Macaca fascicularis: one gene and its partners. The protein of the gene in region 1 interacts with the protein of each later gene in a pairwise test. Links are inferred from orthologs where the notes say so. Each region holds a gene or a part of one and is shown on either strand. Other genes may lie near its edges.

What was found. The genes of interacting proteins can lie anywhere in the genome.
Region 2: the proteins of MAGEA4 (region 1) and UQCRB interact in binary tests that used the Homo sapiens proteins (3 or more experiments, as listed by UniProt). The two-hybrid records come from large-scale screens. The link is inferred for Macaca fascicularis from reciprocal best matches to the Homo sapiens genes MAGEA4 and UQCRB.
Region 3: the proteins of MAGEA4 (region 1) and WBP2 interact in a two-hybrid assay, tested with the Homo sapiens proteins (2 studies listed by BioGRID). The two-hybrid records come from large-scale screens. The link is inferred for Macaca fascicularis from reciprocal best matches to the Homo sapiens genes MAGEA4 and WBP2.

Annotation. Positions count from the first base shown.
Region 1 is NC_088395.1:157,991,069-157,995,220, forward strand, and holds the start of MAGEA4 (melanoma-associated antigen 4), read left to right. Parts: upstream 1-1,352; 5' UTR 1,353-1,369; intron 1,370-1,973; exon of another isoform or gene 1,974-1,992; intron 1,993-4,152. UniProt on the Homo sapiens protein: Regulates cell proliferation through the inhibition of cell cycle arrest at the G1 phase. Also negatively regulates p53-mediated apoptosis.
Region 2 is NC_088382.1:105,905,397-105,909,363, reverse strand, and holds the start of UQCRB (cytochrome b-c1 complex subunit 7), read left to right. Parts: upstream 1-1,167; 5' UTR 1,168-1,181; coding exon 1,182-1,200; exon of another isoform or gene 1,201-1,287; intron 1,288-2,554; exon of another isoform or gene 2,555-2,673; intron 2,674-3,872; coding exon 3,873-3,944; intron 3,945-3,967. UniProt on the Homo sapiens protein: Component of the ubiquinol-cytochrome c oxidoreductase, a multisubunit transmembrane complex that is part of the mitochondrial electron transport chain which drives oxidative phosphorylation.
Region 3 is NC_088390.1:82,265,275-82,269,215, reverse strand, and holds the start of WBP2 (WW domain-binding protein 2), read left to right. Parts: upstream 1-1,141; 5' UTR 1,142-1,169; coding exon 1,170-1,228; intron 1,229-3,941. UniProt on the Homo sapiens protein: Acts as a transcriptional coactivator of estrogen and progesterone receptors (ESR1 and PGR) upon hormone activation. In presence of estrogen, binds to ESR1-responsive promoters. Synergizes with YAP1 to enhance PGR activity.

The DNA.
Region 1 (4,152 bases):
CCCTCCCACCCCCATCCACGTTGAATCAGGCTCCGCTTCCATTTCCAACCCAAGGAAGCCCCAGGTGCCTGGACGTGATGCCACTGACTTTTGCATTGGGGGTTAGAGAGAAGTGAGCTGCTCTGTGTGACTGGCACCTTGGGATTGGCAGAGGGAAGCGGGCCAGGCCCTGTGAGGAGTCAAGGTGTGACGCTGAGGGAGGACTCAGGAGGCCCCCACCCCAGATAGACGACCCCAGATAATCCCGGACCACTCCTGTTGCCAGCCCTGGGCCACCTGTGGGCAGACTTCTGAGTCTGGGGCACCCACCACCTCACTGCCTCTGAAGTCGAAGGGCACTCTGGAATCAGAGTATGGTGTGATCAATGCAAGATGGGCGGGGGAAAGGTTGGCCAGGCACCAACCTCACAACCAAAAGAGAGGGCTGAATGTCCCCCAACCCTATTCCCCTTCCCCACCCCCATTCCCACCCCCACCCTGTTCGCATTCGAACTCCTAAAAACCATCCACAATCCCATCCCCCACTAGCCCAGGTATATTCCCCAACACCCCACCACCTTCATACCACCGTCTCCCACCCCAAAATTCCCACCCCCTCCACCGTCACCCCTCCCTCCCCCATCCATGCTGATTCGGGTTCCGCTTCTGCTTTTAACCCAGGAAAGCCCCAGGTGCCCGGATGTGAGGCCACTGACTTGCACACTGGGGGTTAGAGAGAAGCGAGCTTCTCTGACCGGCACTTTGGGATTGGCAAGGGAAGGGGGCCAGGTCCTGTGAGGAGTGAAGATGAGATGCTGAGGGAGGACTCAGGAGTCCCCATCCGAGATAGACGACCCCAAATAGTCCCAGACCACTCCTGCTGCCAGCCCTGGGCCACCCATGGGCGGACTTCTGAGTCTGGGGCACCCACCACCCCACTGCCTCTGAAGTTTCAGGGGACTCGAGTCAGAGCTTGGGGTGATCAGTGCAAGACTAGTGAAGGCAGGCTCTGCCGGGCATCAACCTCAGGAGCATGAGAGAAGGCTGAGCTTACCGCACCCCTATTCCCATCCCCCACCTCCATTCCCATCCCCCCCCGTTTCCATTCCCATTCACAACCCTCCATCCCCCATCCCCCACCAGCAACCCTATCCTCCCCAACCCCCCACCACCCTCATACCACCATCTCCCACACAAAAATACCCGCTCCCTCCACCAACGTCACCCCTCCCACTCCCATCCACGCTTCCACTTTCAACCCAAGGAAGTCCCAGGTGCCCGGATGTGATGCCACTGACTTGCGCATTGGGGGTTAGAGAGAAGCTTCTTTGTCTGACCGGTACCTTGGGACTGGTGGGGGGAAGCGGGCCAGGCCCTGTGAGGAGTCAAGGTGAGATGCTGAGGGAGGACTCAGGAGGCCCCCACCCCAGATAGGCGACCCCAAATAATCCTGGACCACTCCTGCTGCCAGCCCTGGACCACCCGTGGGTGGACTTCTGAGTGTGGGGCACCCACCACGCCACTGCCTCTGAAGTCGCTGGGGACTCTGGAGTCACAGCTTGGGGTGATCAGTGCAAGACTGGTTAGGGCAGGCTCTGCCGGGCATCAACCTCAGGACCATAAGAGAGGGCTGAGCTTATCCCACCCCTATTCCTATCCCCCACCCCCTTCCCATCCCTCACGCTGTTCCCTTTCCCATTCCCATTCGCACTCCCAAACCCATCCACACTCCCATCCCTCTGCAGCACCCCATCCATCCTCCCCAATCCACCACCATCCTCATACCGCCGTCTCCCACCCCAAAAAGCCTGCCCCCTCCACCATCCTCATCCCTCCCACTGCCATCCACGCTGAATCGGGTTCTGCTTCCGCTTTCAACCCCAGGACGCCCCAGGTGCCCGGATGTGAGCCAATGACTTGCGCGTTGGGGGTCAGAGAGAAGCGAGCTTCTCTGTCTGACAGGGAGCTTGGGATTGGCGGAGGGAAGCGGGCCAGGCCCTTTGAGGAGTGAAGGTGAGATGCTGAGGGAGGACTTAGGAGGCCCCCACCCCAGATAAACGACCCCAAATAATCCCGCACCATTCCTGCTGCCAGCCCTGGGCCACCCGTGGGCAGACTTCTGAGTCTGGGTCACCCGCCACTCCACTGCCTCTGAAGTCACAGGCGACTCTCGAGTCAGAGCTTGGGGGGATCTGTGCAAGACTGGTGAGGGCAGGCTCTGCCAGGCGTCAACCTCAGGACTGTAAGAGAGGGCTGAGGGTCCCCCACCCCGTTCCCATTTTCATCCACACTCCCAACCCCATCTACACCCCCATTCCCCACCAGTACTCCTATCCTCCCCAAACTCCCACCACCCTGATATCCCCACCCCCAAACCTCTACCCCTATCCAGGCTGAATCACTGCCCTCATATCCCCACCCCAAAACCTCTACTCCCATCCAGGCTGAATCGGGTTCCAGTTCCACTTTCAACCCAGGGAAGCCCCAGGTGCCCGGATGTGATGCCAGTGACTTGCGCATTGGGGGTTAGAGAGAAGCTAGCTTCTTGGTCTGACAGGCAGCTTGGGCTTGGCAGAGGGAAGCCGGCCCAGGCTCTCTGAGGTGGCAAGGTGAGAAGCTGAGGGAGGACTCGGGAGACCCTCCCCACTGCAGATGGATGACCCCAAATAATCTAGCACCACTCCTGCTTTCAGCCCTGGGTCACTCGTGGGCGGACATCTGAGTCTGGGGCCCACCACTCCACTGCCGCTTAAGCCGCAGGGGACTGTTCAGTCAGAGCTTGGTGTAATCAGTGCAAGACTGGTGGGGACAGGCTTTGCTAACCTTCAACATCAGGACCCTAGGAGAGGGTGGAGCGTCCCCCACCCCATTCCTATCCCCTACCCTGTTCCCATTCCCATCCGCACTCCCAACCCCATCTGTACCCCCATCCCCCACCTGTGCCCCTATGCTCCCCAACACCCCCCACCAGCCTCATGCCCCCCACCTTCATCCCCATCCGTGCAGAATCTGGTTACACCCCTGCTTTCAATCCAGGCAAGCCCTGGGTGGCCGGATGTGATGCCACTGACTTGTGCATTGGGGATTAGAGGGAAGCGAGGTTCTGGTTCTGAAGAACGGCTTGAGATTGTCAGACAGAAGGGGGCCCAGGCTTTGTGAGCAGGCAGTCAGACTCTGAGGGAGGATTCAGGACACCCTTATCCCTGATAGAAGGTCCCAGCCCTGGACCATCGCGGAGGCTGACTTCTCAGGCTAGGCCGCCGCCTCCAGCTTCCCACCCCACCACCACCTGTCCCCACACCCGGTCCCCACAGGAGACTCTGGAGTCAGAGCGTGGTGTGACCATGGAAGGGATGCTTAGGAGAGGGCACTATCTGGGCTCTGCCAGGCATCAAGGTCAGGAATCTCAGGGAGGGCTGAGGGCCTCCAAGAGTCCACTGCAATCCCCACTCTCATGACCCACCCCCACTTCATTGCCATTCCCACCCCTATCCACCACTCCTATACCTCAACCCAGATCTCCTTCCGCTCTGCCTTTCCACCCACACCCCTCCCACCGGAACCCCCACCCTGGCAGAATACAGTTCAGCCCCTGCTGTCAATCCAGGAAAGTCCCTGGTACCCGAATGTGACGCCACTGACTTGCTCATTGGGAGTTAGAGAGAAGCAAGGTTCTCCTTAGGGGGAGCTTGACATCAGCAGAGAGAAGTGAGCCCAGGCTCTGAGGAGGCAAGGTGAGAGGCTGAGGGAGGTCTCAGAAGGGCCCCCCCCCAGATAGAGGGCCCCAATTAATCCAGCACCATCCCTACTGCCAGCCCTGGACCACCCAGGAGGCCGACTTCTCAGGCTGGGCTGCTCCCCACCACCGCCCCTGTTGCAACCCGTTTGTTTAAGCCACAGGAGACTCTGGAGTCAGAGGTTGGTGTGATCAGGGCAGGGCTGGTTAGGAGAGGGCATGGCCCAGGATCTGCCAGGAATCAAAGTCAGAAACCTGAGAGGGAACTGAGGTCCCCCAAGATCCCACTCTAACCCCCATTCCCACAAATCCCCTACCACTTCGCTGCCCCATTTCCCATTCCTTGCCCTCCAACCTCACCAGGCAGAATCCAGTTCCCCTTCTGCTATCAATCCAGGGAAACCCCAGACTTGGTGCTGGGACGTTTTGGGGGTCAG
Region 2 (3,967 bases), on another chromosome or scaffold:
TAGATGTAGATCTTCAGCTGGAGAAACCCAAGGCCTGAAAGGCTTGGTGTCTTTCCTGGATTAGTAGTGTAGCATATGGCCCTAGAATTAAGGAGCCCTAAGTTTGCGTCTGGATTTTCAGATTCTGGAAGAAGAACCTGGACTCTTCTAGTCATGTCCTCTTGGACAAGTTATTCAACCTTTCTGAGCTTCAGCTTTCTCCTATCTACAATGAGATAATGACAGTACTTTTAGAATTAAATGACAGTGTAGGGGAGTGAGAGATCACGCCTTTGCTCTTATGTGGGCTCTTTGGTTGGATCTAGGAACCAAATTGACACAAGGCAGATTAACAAGAGAAAAGCATACTAATTTTACTAGTTTTACATGTGCATGGGGATCCTCACAAGAAAGTGAAGTGGCCAATGTAAGATGCCTTTATACTTTTTACACGAACTACAAATCAGAAGAAACGGGATCTGGCTAGGGGCAGTGAATTTCTTGCGGAGTCATTAGGAGAAACGTGGGTGTGGTGGGGTGTAAACTTAGTGGAAGATAAGGGTTATTTCGGAAAGTATATTCAGGTCCAAAGCAGCTCCCAGTTTCCAGTCTCTGGTGATGGGTGCTATTTTCTCCCTCTGGTAAGGGACGGGTACTCCGGAGGAATCCTGGAGGAAACTTTACGGCTTGCTGCATGCAGGAAGAGATGGGTCATCAAACCCTTTCTGAAACTACAATTTCTCCAACATTTTCAACTCGAAATAATCAGTGTACCAATTCCATATATTTTTGGGATGGCGCATCCATCAGTCCTTCAATACAAAATAAAACGATGCCCTTAAAACATTTAGCTTCCTGCCTGGCACAAAGAGCTGAATTCATACTGCCCACGCTCTCATAGCTATTAACAGCAAGTAACAGAACCCAGCTTTAAGCCTCGGTCTCCTAATTCCTGACCTGTGTTCTTCCCATCACATCACAACCAATACTTCTTGGAATATAGCACGCAAAACGCCCCGCCTACTCCATTGGCCTCACCCTGGCCGAGAAGTGCACACGCAAGAGCTCAACGACAGCCGTCAGAACTGCGCCTGCGCAAGCGGCGTTTCTCGGTTCGCGCTGTGGCGTAACGCGCCTGCGGACTGGGCCCAGCGTGTCCTCTATGACTTACCCAGAAGGCAACGTTTCATTTTCTGGTCAAAATGGCTGGCAAGCAGGCGGGTAAGTGACTGGGGAGTCTTCTTGGCGGGCATCGTCGCGCTCCACCGTTTATTTTCGCTGCAGCTCACTCCGTTTTCTCTCTTCTTTGTAAGTCACCAAGTTTGTCGCGGAAGGGAAAGTGGCGGCTTCAGTCCAGCCAAAAGGACGTGCTTCCCCACTCGTTTGTTGTTCCCAGGCCGGGCTTGCCTATATAGGGTTGGGGTGTTAACCCGCTGTTTGTGAAGGTGCCCGCGGTGGCTCTAACAGCCCTGGAGTTCCAGCTGCCTGTGCTCGGAAGTCCTTCCCCTCGGCCTTAGAAAAGTTAAAGGTCACAAGAAGATAACTAGTGGATGACTTTCAACCAGAATGAGCTCAGTGCTTTCTTCTATGACCCAGGTGCTCTATCGTGTGCATTGGCCCTATAAATTCTCCTGCCAGTGCCACGAGGGAGATACTAATTTCCCGTTTACGCTGATAAGACAACTGAGGCAAAGTGACCCAAGGAAGTAGAATTGGAAATTTCATTGCACCCCTCGCGCTTCTCAAACTGTGAATCAGAGACAGTCTAGCAAGGGATACGAGCGACGCTTCACATTAACCTTGGATTATCTAGAACGTCAGCTTGATCAGTAGGTTTGGAGAAATTTGAATTTATTGTAGGTTCAAACAAATTTATTGTGGAATAGAATGCAGATATTACTGGAATATTTAAAACAACTTGAACATTAAGTTGGGTTTCCTTGTTTTTTTGTTTTGTTTTGTTTTTTTGCTAATCTCTGCCCTCTGGCGGTACAAGTTGGAGTATCTTTTTTTTTTTTTTTTTTTTTTTTCTTTTGAGAAGGAGTCTTGCTTTGTCGCCCAGGCTGGAGTGCAGTGGCACAATCTCGTCTCACTGCAATGCAACCAAGTTGGAGTAGCTTTTAAAAAATATTGATCCTTTTCTCCCTGACCCCAGCAATTGTGAAGCTGTTAGGAAACATCAGGTTGCCAGAAACATCCGCTAACCTAATTGACATTGAGCTTTTTGGGGGTGGGGGAGACTTTTTAAATAATTATTTTATTAATTTAGCAGATATTGAAGGAGTCTTACTAAATTCAAGACACTGATTCTGTGCGTGTTTGGGATCTACATAGACCAGATCTCAACTCCCATTAGCTAACTGACCTTGGGTGGGATCACTTCTGTAAGTCTGCTTCCCTTGCTGTAGTAAGAGGCATGTAAATAAATCAGCTAATGTTGGTAAAGCAAATAGGAAAGTGTTTGGTGCACAATAAGTGTTTAGTGAATATTATTCTAGTCACTGATAGGTGGTTAAAAATAATCTGTCTTCCACAAGTATGTTTGTAGATTGTTGACTGATACTTGTTTTTCTAGCAGCAGTTTTATACATGACTTCATTTCCAAGGAGATGTGCTGAAGCCACGTAATCTGTAGTGCACTGAGTTTGCAGGCAAGGAGGGCTGAGTGAAAGGAGAGTTTGCTTTCCTTCCTTGGTAAGGGGCTAACGCTAGACAAAATTTTAAAAGAAAATGTAAACTTGTTCTACCTCCCCTTTTGTAAAACGTCTCTCCTAAAATGTCAGGTACGGTCCTGCTGTACTTGGACCCTGCTGGGTTACTTCATCAGACTCAGCCCTGTTCCCCAAAGAATTTTATTTTGTTTTTTTTGTTTGTTTGTTTGTTTGTTTTTGAGACGGAGTCTGGCTCTGTCCCCCAGGCTGGAGTGCAGTGGCCGGATCTCAGCTCACTGCAAGCCCCGCCTCCCGGGTTCACGCCATTCTCCTGCCTCAGCCTCCCGAGTAGCTGGGACTACAGGCGCCCGCCACCTCGCCCGGCTAATTTTTTTTGTATTTTAGTAGAGACAGGGTTTCACTGTGTTAGCCAGGATGGTCTCGATCTCCTGAACTCGTGATCCGCCCGTCTCGGCCTCCCAAAGTGCTGGGATTACAGGCTTGAGCCACCGCGCCCGGCAAGAATTTTAAAATTACCCATTTCTCATCCGTTTTCAATACCTATTCCCTTGGGGGGAACTTAGTTGCTTAGGAGGAGGTAAATGGACTTCTTTTACTAATCCACATTAATGTTTAAATGACTAATGGTATCAAAATCCTCCCCAAAATACATATATTTTTAAAGAATGTAGCCAAATGAAATAACTGTAATGTCGAGTAAAATTTTTACAGGATGAGGGTCATTTAGACCTGCCAGCCTATGCTGAAATCTCACTCTCTTTTCATACAACTCCAGCTCCTTTGAAATGAAAAGTTTACAATTATTTCCTGTGATCTATTTATGAAACTACAAATGATAGAAATTTCCAAGTCCTTTTCCTATCTCTCACCCCTTCATTTCTGAAGGTAACAGGGCAGGCATAAGGGCACACGATGTACCTATGGATCTTTTGTACATTCAGTGTTTGAGTTTACCCTCTTCTTCCATGACTTGCCACCATTTTCCTGCAGCCACTTTTGCTCATAAATAAAATAAGCAATTTTTATCAACAGTTTATAAACTTTTTTCTTTTAAATCTAATTCTTTTTTGATTAAATTCTTGCTGTATATAGTATATACTTTTAAAAGGAAATTTCTTTCTATGTTTGCATTCATCAGCAAGATAACTGAGTACTGGTTGCTTGCCCATCAGTGTGTTCATATAGTATAATTGTAGCAACTAACAGTGTGACAATGATCAGTTTCAGCATCAGGCAAGTGGCTGGATGGTATTCGAAAATGGTATTACAATGCTGCAGGATTCAATAAACTGGGTAAGCATCTGTGCTTTTTAATT
Region 3 (3,941 bases), on another chromosome or scaffold:
CGAAGTCGAACAGGTGGATCTAGAGGTTGACCACCACGGTCAGGAAAGCAGCTGTCTACTGAAAAGCAAACTCTAATTCCTTAAGATTAACGAGTTAATCTTTAAGATTAATTAATCTTAACGAATTAATCCTTAAGATTAACCCCTGCACCACCAAGTGGGGGAGTGCAGCCCCCTCTCTCCGCCTCATGGATTCAGCTCGGAGGTGCAGGGGTTTGGTGGGGGGCGGTTAGGGAATGACAGCTGCCCCGTGGAGGACGCCCAGGGCTGGGTCACGAGCTGGCATGAGTCAGTCTTATTTTGTAAGTCCTAGTTATCAGGCTGCCAGTCTCGCGCCGTGCCCAGTCTCACTCAGCCTTCAGTCTTCCGGCCGGGACCCCGCTGGGCGCTCCGGAGGGATCGGCGCCACCGCGAGGCCGGAGAGGAGGCTGCAAGGGGCGCCCGGCCGGCCTGCGAAAGTGGTGGGAGCCAGGCGGGGCACACAGCCTCCCCTCCCCAGGCGGGACTCTCCCCGCCCCCCGGGCTCAGGGCTTGGGGTGGTGAGATGGGTGGCTGGGTGATCCGACGCCGCCAGCCCACCGCGTCCCCAAGAGCCGGGGTCTCGGGCTCAGCTAAACGCCCCAGAGTCACACAAGCGCCCCATACACGTCTGCTGAGTGAACGAAGGCTGCCCATCCACCAGGGGACTGCTCGGCCCTCCCACGCCATGTCCAGGTCGCATTCGGCCAGCGGGACTTCCCTTAACGCTCGGCCGGGGTCCCCAGGCTCGCGCCCCTGACAGCAGCCGAACTGTTTATTTCCGTCCGGCTGAAGAGGCGGGGTGGAGATGGCACAAGCCGATTGGTTATGTAAATTGTGGAGCCAATTTCGGCCTATGAGCCAGGAGACTACAAGTTCCAGAATGCATCCTTCCTCCAGCACAGGGAGAGGCCGAGGCTGCGGGAGCGTTGCCTGCTGGGAATTGTAGTCTTCATCTTGTTTGTTACGCAGGCGGAACTGGGGGGAGGGAGTAAACTATTACCACGTGACGTTCGGGTCAGGTGGTTGGGCCAGCCTCCGCGCTCGAGCTGTGACTGGCTGACTCTAATAAGAAGACGCCACTAGGGGCGGGGCGAAGAGGGGCGCAAGCTCACTGCGTTTTGAGTCTCAGGACCCCTGTCGGAGAGACTATGGCGCTCAACAAGAATCACTCGGAGGGCGGCGGAGTGATCGTCAACAACACCGAGAGGTGAAAACACTGCGGAAGGATCCTAGAGGACCAAAGTTCGGGTGTCGAGGAAGTGGGGGGTGGGCGATGGGCGGTGGGGAATAAGCCCCTGAAGGGGGAGCATTGATGGAGTATGGTTGGGGGGGGAATGGCTGGGGGCGGGGTTGGAGGAAGGTGGGTGGGCCGTGGGGGAGGGCCCGGGAGGTTGTGATCAGCTGGGAGGTGGGAGTGGGACGTCTGCTTGGGGACCTGGCATGGGGCGACCGGTGGGGCCTAGGGGTGATTCTTGAACCCGTTCCCAGAGTTTTGACTTCAGTAACTGGGAGGAGCCCCAAACAAAAATAATTGTCACTTACTGGATGTCTACAACGTTACTACGTGTCAGGCTCTGCGGCTTTTCTACCTTATTTAATAAATTCTGTGCAGTACAATCTACTACTGTCCACGTTTCACAGGTAGGGAAAGTGGGGGGCAGAAAGGTTAAGTAACTTGCTCGAGATTGCAACTCTGTAAGTAACAGAGATGGAATTCCAGGAAAGGAGTCTTGACTCCAAAGTTAATAGGATTAACCACCAGCATACAGGCTTCCAGTATGTTCCAGAACTGTTCAGGTTCCAGGTAAGAAACTGAGGTCCCAGGAGTGAAATTAAACAGATGACGTTTGTCAGATGTCTGACAGTTCCTGGCACTGTGTGGATCCGTAAAGTCATTCCCTTGCCTCTCTCTTGAATGCCTGTTGGTTTGAGTCTCCTCCGAAGGCACAGGTCTCCTAATTCAAGGTTCTTTCCACTCCACCCTCCCCACCCCTTGCTCATTGCATCCTGTCTCTCCTCCAGTCTCTGCCAAGAGAAGCCCTGAATGGCCTCTCTCTCCTTTTGTTCCGTGGGTATTGAAAATCAGACCAGCCAGCTCTGGGTTGAACTATGCCTACCCTGAATTGCCTCTTGAAGGCAGAAGGAGCTTAGGAGGCACCTGAGTCCCCAAAGGAGACATTGTGGAGTCAGAGCCCTGTACCCAGCTAAGGCCAGCATCCAGTTGCCCTGTGACTTGGGAATGTTATGATGAGTCAGAGGAAAATGCCTAGAGTGACCCAGCAGGCTCACTTTCCCTCTATCTTACCTACTCAGAGTCTGATGGGTAATTCCTTCTTTTCTCTGAGCGGTACTTCTCTTTTTTTTTTTGAGATGGAGGCTTGCTCTGTCACCCAGGCTGGAGTGCAGTGGCACGATCTCAGTTCACTGCAGTTCACGATCTCAGTTCACTCAGTTCACCGCCTCCTGGGTTCAAGCAATTATCCTGCCTCAGCCTCCCCGGTAACTGGGATTACAGGCAGTTGCCACTACACCCAGCTAATTTTTTGTATTTTTACTAGAAACAGGAGTTCACCATGTTGGCCAGGCTGGTCTCAAACTCCTGACCTCGTGATCCGCCCTCCTTGGCCTCCAAAAGTATTGGGATTACAGGAATGAGTCACCGTGCCCGACCACTTCTCTTTTCTTAGACCAGTTGTTTCCCACTTACCTTTCCCCAGTCTGAGAAAGTTGTGATATCTGGGGGGAGGCAGAAGACAAACAGAACCGTGTGAACCTTTTTATCATGTGATCAGAGACACCTCACACTGTCTTGTTGCATCTCTGTGTGTGAGTCAGTTCCCAGGCCTGGCCAGCTTTTCATGCCATTTGGCAACATCTCTGGGGACTGTTTTTCTTTCTGTCTCTGTGGAACTTCCTGAGACAAGAATGTATCTATCCTGCTGGGCCTTCTACCTGGCTTAGGGCTCAGGCCTGCTAAGTAAGGTGTGCCTTGTTTTAGAAAGTGCTTCAGCCTCCTGTCTGAATAAGTTGTGTCTGTAACAATTGAAGTATAAGTCCAGTGTTCAAAATTTGATAATTAGGCTGAGCATGGTGGCTCATGCCTGTAATCCTAGCACTTTGGGTGGCCGAGGTAGGTAGATCACTTGAGGTCAGGAGTTTGAAACCCACCTGACCAACATGGTGAAACCCCGTCTCTACTAAATACAAAAAATCAGCCGGGCGTGGTGACGCATGCCTGTAACCCCAGCTATGTGGGAGACTGAGGCAGGAGAATTGCTTGAACCCAGGAGGTAGAGGTTGCAGTAAGCCGAGATCATGCCGCAGCACTCCAGCCTGGGCAACAAGAGTGAAACTCCGTCTCATAAAAAAGAAAAAAAAAAGATAATTAAACTAGTGAACGTTACTCTTCAAGTCGTGAACTCCTTTGAGAATAATGGAAGCTGTGGACTCTCCGCTCAGAAAAATGCACATATGACGTACATGATCATCTCAAGGGCTTCATGGACTTTCCTGCCAACCCAGCTGAAGAACCCAGGTTTGAAAGAACCTTGAAGGAGGTCCTATTGTGATCTGTACAGTCATCTCTTAGATATGTTTATATGTTAGGGTTGAAAAACAAACCAGCAAAAACAGAGCATCTGTCAAAAGGACTTAAAAGAGAATAGAAAAGTTAAGCCAGATCACCTCACCTACTTGAGGGATGGCGGCCTCTCTAGAGCCCTGTAACTCTGCTACCACGTTGATCATTTGGGGGCTGTGTAAGCGGGGTTTGGGAAATTTTACAGAACTCCAACGTGCTCGTTTCTTCCATGGCTGCATTAATGGGGTTTTTTGTTGGTGGTGGTGGTGGTTTTTAGTTTTTTTGTAGAGACGGGGTCTCGCCACGTTACCCAGGCTGGTCTCAAACTCCTGGGCTCAAG